Linked DNA regions of Danio rerio. Each later gene encodes a partner of the first gene's protein in a complex. Links are inferred from orthologs where the notes say so. Each region holds a gene or a part of one and is shown on either strand. Other genes may lie near its edges.

Region 1 (4,186 bases):
ATGTGACGTGCATAATCCATCTCTCACCTTTTCTGTGAGGTCTGATCTCTCCTGAAGTTTATACGTTTTGGAAAACAGCAGTCGGATAATCCATAAAATGAGAAAACCTTCTAAAATTAAGTGATATGCTGGGGCCTAGAAAAAACAACAACAACAACAACACACAAATAGTATCAGTTCCTTTGATTATTAGATGCATTCATAAGAAATTGTATAAAATGGCGACAAATTAAATAATGTAAAAGAAATCATTGATGGATTTCATATTATAGCCATATACATATCATATTAAATACATACAATATACATTAGATGATTTGATAGAAGAAAACCCTGTTAACCCTTGTGAATTCACAATGCTTTGGTTACGTTCGGAATGAAAACATCTGCTAAATTAAACTGTAAAAATGTATCAGATATATAGGTATTTCTTAATTTTTTTCCAGAGATATATTAAACATCCTTAGTCCTGTTCAAAACTACTAAATGTTCTTTTAATAAAGGATTTTGACTCTTTAATTCCCAAGTTTGTAATGTCGCTGATTTTTTATATAAAAAGGTAACTGTGAAATGGATTTAATTGTACCTTTTTTTGTGATTATTTATTTATTGCAGAACAAAGCCAGCATACATAGCTAGCGACAACTTTGTAAAAACCAGGGTTTGCATTAAATGAAAATACATAAAGAATAAAATAAAAATATAATAATAAAATAAAAGCAAAAAATTATAAACAAATAACAATACACAGGAAAAGAAAAACTCTAGGGTGAGAATTATCTAGTTATTATATTAAAAACTTTCTCAATAAAATCAGACCATGCTTTGATTGTATGGGGTTTAGCTCTGTTAATTCTTGCTGTAGAACGTTCTAATTTTTGAACACATTTTATCCACTGGGAATGCGGGTTCATGCCATATTTTGAATATAACCTTCTTGGCTGCAGTATGAAATAACCTTTTAGTTAGTTTAGATCATAATCATCATTCAATAAACAGAAATTGGGATGTTTAGGAATAATTATTTGTACTTTTAAATTACAGTCTTGGACATGTAAAGGTTAGTAACAACATTGGCTTTGCTGCATTGTTTGTTTGTGTGCAGAATCAGATTTTTATTTATTTTTCTTTCTAACATACTGTGTGTGGCTGTTTTTGCCCCATTGACTTCAATTATAACTACATTTTTGGATTGCAAAGCCATGACAGCACATAATCACATGGTCTTAATTGTTGGTGGTTTTCCCTGTTGGAAAAAGGTGCAATTTGTCATTATTACTGATAACAAAAATATCACCTAATCATGATCAAAATAGCTTAACCTCCTTCAAATAGGCTCAGAATCTCCAGTTCTCAATTCCACTGTATAGTCTCATGTTTGAGCAAAGCATATTTCAGTTTTGTCCGTCACACTACTCATCATGACATTACTTTTTCCCAATTTCAATATAAAAATGTTGTCATTAAGAGAATATTGGTCAAATTGGAAAAAAAAGTCATATATTCATATTAAACATGTCAAATATTAAGAAATGAAAACCCTAGTTTTCATTTACAGCAACGCCTCATGTTTGTTATTCTGGCCTATTGCCAAAAGAAAACAACAACTTGGAATTAAATTATTTTATTTGGAAGAAGCCCTTATAGAATAAAACATACATTAACCTTTTACACCAAATACGCAAGAAGAAAATTCAGTACATCTTGAGAAACTGAGAATTTTCAAGTGATCTATTGATTTTGTTTCCTCCTCATAGCTGTACATCGATTAAATATACAGTTGAAATCTGAATTATTAAACCCCTTTAAATTTTCTTTTCTTTTTAAAAATATTTCTCAAGTGATGTTTAACATCAAGGAAATTTTCACAGCATGTCTGATAATTTTTTGTTCTTCTACATGAAGTCTTACTTGTTTTATTTCGGCTAGAATAAAAGCAGTTTTTTACATTTTTTAAAAAGCCATTTTAAGGTTAAAATTATTAGCCCCTTTAAGCTGTATATTTTTTCAATAGTCTACAGAACAAACCAAATTACCCAAACCTGCCTAGTAAACCTAGTAAAGCCTTTAAATTTCCCTTTAAGCTGTTTAGAAGTGTCTTGAAAAATATCTAGTCACATATTATTTACTGTCATCATGACAAAGATAAAATAAATCAGTTATAAGAAATAAGTTAAGCCATTCCATGCAAATGTCAACGTTGCCATGAAAAAAATGAAGTTTTCACCAAAATACGGAAATTGTTTCTGTTATTTTTGCACATTCAGACTTTCTGCTTAATAATATAATTTCAGAAAAATACTCTTTGCAAATTTTAAATAGGGAAATCACAACAGCAGTTAATGACTATCAAAGTACAACCTTATTTACAGTCAATTACATAGTGGTAACATTGTTTTGAAGTCATCCTTGCGTGCTATTTCAGACTCAATATTCAACTTAGCGCGATAAACAATATATGGGCCATTAAAAGAACGAATTTGCGAATACCAAACCTACTTTACCTCAACTTACTACACAATTTGGCAACAGATAAAAACAAAATAAACAGTGTTCTTGTTATACAATGACATAATTCAATTTTTAGCAGAACCTATATTTGTGTAAATCCACCACCATTGGTACAGCACTATAGCTACTAGTAAAGGTAGAATTAGGTGTGCAACTCACCTGTCTGACTGATACTCATGTCATATTTAACACTTCCTGGAGTTACACTATGAGACTACTGAAGATTACATGTGAAATACAGCCGAATACAACCACCTACGCCAGTCCTGTTTACCTCAGCAAACGCAGAACAGTCTGTCGATATTTACAAATCTTAAAAACCTCAAAAAGACAAAAGAAGAAAGTTTGTAGTTACCTCGTAAAAAGCTTGCACCATCTCCACCAACACCCACTGTTGCCCCGACGCCATTTTGACTGAGTCACATGATCGCTCTGCGCGACTTCCTGATTGATAAAGAGGCGCCATCGCGTGGAGGAGAAGCGTCATTGCAGGCTTCGTCAGTCGGATTTTCCACCTCTGTTTTTGAATGTGATGTCATTTGCTTGGTCACCATCAAACCAGCATTACGTTATGGTTATAAAGAAACCATTTGTTACATTTCTTGTACTGTTGCATACCGTTTGGTAAGCTGAACATTTAATATAGGCTGCTGGAGAATGTTATGGGGGAAATGCAGTATTGTGTGTGTGTGTGTGTGTGTGTGTGTGTGTGTGTGTGTTGCCGTTGTTGCTGTTGTTTTGTGTTGTCTTGAAATGTAACAACCACTTTAGATATTGTAAGAATTGAAATATTGCAAATATTCTGATATCTTTGACAATTCAAAACATGAGCTGAAGACAGGGCCAATGGACTCCACAACCCACCAGGGGGGAACGCGTGAAAAACCAGTTCCTGCTGCATTTGCATCTGACTATGCTGAGACTCAGCTTCATCCCCCCAAGTCACACATATGGTCATTTCAATGTTTCAATGTTTTAGACTAACCAAACTGACTTTAACTATCATGTTTGATATCATTTGAAATGTCTCAGTGCGATTGGTACAATGGTCTCATTCTCCCAGAAATAGACATAATCAGAATAATAAATATAGAACTACAGGCATCTTTTGAACCACTGTGAGGGGTGTGACTTTTACACTAAGTGTGAATGCCTTTTTTCACACCCCCTTCCTTGAGGGAATTCTTGGATTATTTAAGGTAAGGGTTGAGAAAAACTCAGGGCGATTCTGCCTAACCAGATCAGCCCATAACATGGCTTGTTCCATGTTATGTATATTTCAAAGTCAGGAATGCATCTTTTCATCTTGGATTTATCTTTGATAATTTGATGTTTTGTATTGATCGTTTATGAATTGACTGATTGAATTGGCATAATACATTTACCTGACTAATAAATTGTTATGTTTTGAATGATTCAAACAGAGTTCGTGTTATTATCTTTAGTAGATTGTGGTAATTTCATAGCACCACAAGCCCCTGTTCAGGTTAGTAGCGGACTAGAACACGGTAGACGGAGCATTGCGGCACGTTACACGATGTCTCTAGAGCTCCGACTAACAAATTGGCATTTATTCATGTATACTTAGGTTGTAAAAGGATATCTAAGGGGATAGTCCTTCACCCGATAAACTTTTAATACTATTTAGATAGTATAGTGATTATTCAAAGTTACT
Region 2 (2,949 bases), on another chromosome or scaffold:
GCTGCAACCCATCTATGGGAAACATCCATACACACTCATTCACACTCATACACTATGGACAATTTAGCTTACCCAATTCACCTTTACCGCATGTCTTTGCACTTTGGGGGAAACCGGAGCACCCGGAGGAAACCCACACAAATTCAGAAATGCCAACTGACCCAGCCGAGGCTCAAACCAGCGACCTTCTGGCTGTGTGGCGACAGCATTACCTACTGCACCACTGCGTCACCTGCTCGTTAACACAAATTACTAATTAGCCAATCACATGGCAGTAACTCAATGCATTTAGGCATGTAGACATGGTCAAGATGATCTACTGCAGTTCTAACCGAGCATTAGAATGGGGAAGAAAGGTGATTTAAGTGACTGAACGTGGTATGGTTGTTGGTACCAGACGGGCTAGTCTAAGTATTTCAGAAACTGCTGATCTACTGGGTTTTTCTTGCACAACCATCTCTAGGGTTTACAGAGTGGCAGTTCTGTAGGCTCAAATGCCTCATTGATGCCAGAGGTCAGTGGAGAATGTCCAGATTGGTTCCAGCTGATAGAAAGGCTACAATAACTCAAATAGCCACTCGTTACAACCGAGGTAACCAAGAGCATGTCTGAACACACCACATGTCGAACCTTGAGGCGGATGGGCTACAGCAGCAGAAAACCACACCTGGTGCCACTCCTGTCAGCTAAGAAAAGGAAACTGAGGTTACATTTCGCACAGGCTCACCAAAATTGGACAATAAAAGATTGGAAAAAATGTTACCTAGTCTGAGTCACGATTTCTGCTGCAACATTTGGATGGTAGGGTCAGAATTTTGTGTCAACAACATGAAAGTATGGATCCATCCTGCCTTGTATCAACGGTTCAGGCTGCTGGTGGTGGTGTAATGGTGTCGGGAATGTTTTCTTGGCACACTTTGGGCGCATTAGTACCAATTGAGCATCGTGTCAATGCCACAGCCTACCTGAGTATTGACGGTATAGACAAGTCCAAAGTATAGAATGGGAGATTCGCATCATGGAAATGCAGTCGACAAATCTGCAGCAACTGCGTGATGCTATCATTTCAGTATAGACCAAAATCTCTGAGGAATATTTTCAGTACCCTATGATTAAGGTAGTTCCAAGGCAAAAGATGGTCCAACCCGGTACTAGTAAGGTGTACCTAATAAAGTGGCCGGTTTGTGTATATATTACTTATTACATTATATTACTAATCGTGCACAAAAATTTAAGTTTGTATTTACATAAAACATGTTCATGTACTGTATTGTTCTGTAAATGCACACACATGTCTACATATAGTATGTTAATACAAGTATATAATTTTGTTGTATGTATATGCATATTAAGATTATTGTTCACATTACTATGAACATATAAGGAAGTGCAAGGAAAAATCAAGAAGAAACCACATCCTGTTATTAGATGCAGTCTTATGCTGTGCTGTGTCTGCTTGAACAGCTTCTGTAGCCTTTGCTTCTGTGCATCTCATGTTGCTTTCTGACGTCGAACTTGATCTTGTCCTTGTTTTTCTCCTCTACAGGTATTTCCTGACCAGTTTCTATACAAAGTATGACAGGGTCCACTTCGTCATCAACACCATTTCCCTGCTCACTGTGCTTATCCCCAAACTTCCTCAGTTCCACGGGGTCCGTCTTTTCGGGATTAATAAGTATTGATGAGGCTTTGGTCTTCAACACGAGAAGATGTGTTGACACGCAGGGCACATCCTGACTTACTCTGTGGGAATGAAAAAGGAGCTTTGTGAGATGGTCTGCTGCTTTGCGGTCGAATCGGCTGAATAATCTGCAATGATCAGTGTTTTTTTTTGTATAACATTCAGTAGAAAGAAGCACTTTTTGTTAAACCACCAGCGGAATGCAGGAGATTATAAGACTGCGTTGAACCAGTGTTTCATCATTTGGACCTGAGTGTTTGCTTTCAGTCACTTTGGCAGAAATGCTGCATTGGTGCAATGATTCAGATGGGTCAGAATCATCCAGGCTGGTTCATCATGTCGTCTTAACTGTTTTGGGTGCCTGAGTCAGCACGTCCCTGGAGTACGTTCGGCACTGGGGGTTTAGAAAAGAGAAGAAAGCTACTGTGTTTCTGAAGAAAGTGTACAATGCTGTTTTTAGCCCAGGTGCAAAAGACTGGCTTCAGTCCCATAGTTGGACAATGTCACCCTGTGCTTTTGCAAACTTTTGCAGGGGCCTTGTTTTAAAACTTTTAAACAGAGCTAGTTGAAATTTATATATAGTAATATATTTTAAAGAGATGTATGCAAATGCCAGTTGCAGTGTTCTAAGGCCAGATTTATTAAATGGAGGAATTAACACGAGAGCACCGACCCATAAAAGTGCAGATGGGAAATATGCAAACATTAAATAACAGCATTTAATTATACTTTGAAATGAATATATTTAGATAATGTCATCATACGACATTCCACATTAATGACCATGAGTGGAGGAAATTCTCCCCTCTACTGTGTTTGTTTTGTTTTCTGCCTTCATCCTTCTCTAGCAGTTGTCACAGTCATGTCAAGCACAAAATTGGTTAGATAAGCTCTTAAAGATGTTAAACAATAGCACAGATACAAGTAATTTGGCTGTAAATGTTTAGTAAATAATATTGCATGATCAATTTAAATCCTCTCTTGCTCCTACAAATGCATATGAGTCAAAGACGAGGCACCCCATTGTTTTATTTACATAAAACAATTATACCGTAGTCAATATACAGTACTGACCGACAGCTTATTAAATGCCCCCAAAAAAAATGAAAAAAGAGATGGTCTCATCATTCATAACAGATTTATTTATTTATGTAACCCCCATAACTCAATGGCTGCAGCTCTGCACAGTTTAGTTCCAACCCTGGTCCAGCACACTTACCTGTAGGTTTCATAAGCTGTGTCCCAAATGGCACACTATACAGTACAGT

What was found. Proteins that work in one complex are often made in the same cells at the same time.
Region 2: the proteins of sptlc1 (region 1) and ormdl3 are in contact, whole or in part, in a cryo-EM structure (PDB 7K0N), measured with the Homo sapiens proteins. The link is inferred for Danio rerio from reciprocal best matches to the Homo sapiens genes SPTLC1 and ORMDL3. Residues at the interface, in NP_006406.1 of Homo sapiens: Ala16, Leu17, Ala20, Pro21, Tyr23, His24, Leu27, Glu28, Leu31, Ile32, Trp34, Ile35, Leu38, Leu39, Ser41, Lys42, Thr43, Tyr44, Lys45, Leu46, Gln47; in NP_001307730.1 of Homo sapiens: Gly92, Val93, Gln94, Phe95, Thr96, Ala97, Lys100, Thr103, Ile104, Ile107, Tyr110, Phe111, Ser114, Tyr119, Gln121, Phe124, Thr128, Leu131, Met132, Leu139, Pro140, His143.

What each region holds. Positions count from the first base shown.
Region 1 is NC_133185.1:5,706,051-5,710,236, reverse strand, and holds the start of sptlc1 (serine palmitoyltransferase 1), read right to left. Parts: upstream 2,940-4,186; 5' UTR 2,921-2,939; coding exon 2,867-2,920; intron 136-2,866; coding exon 28-135; intron 1-27. UniProt on the Homo sapiens protein: Component of the serine palmitoyltransferase multisubunit enzyme (SPT) that catalyzes the initial and rate-limiting step in sphingolipid biosynthesis by condensing L-serine and activated acyl-CoA (most commonly palmitoyl-CoA) to form long-chain bases.
Region 2 is NC_133187.1:23,968,225-23,971,173, reverse strand, and holds the end of ormdl3 (ORM1-like protein 3), read left to right. Parts: intron 1-1,546; coding exon 1,547-1,682; 3' UTR 1,683-2,378; downstream 2,379-2,949. UniProt on the Homo sapiens protein: Plays an essential role in the homeostatic regulation of sphingolipid de novo biosynthesis by modulating the activity of the serine palmitoyltransferase (SPT) in response to ceramide levels.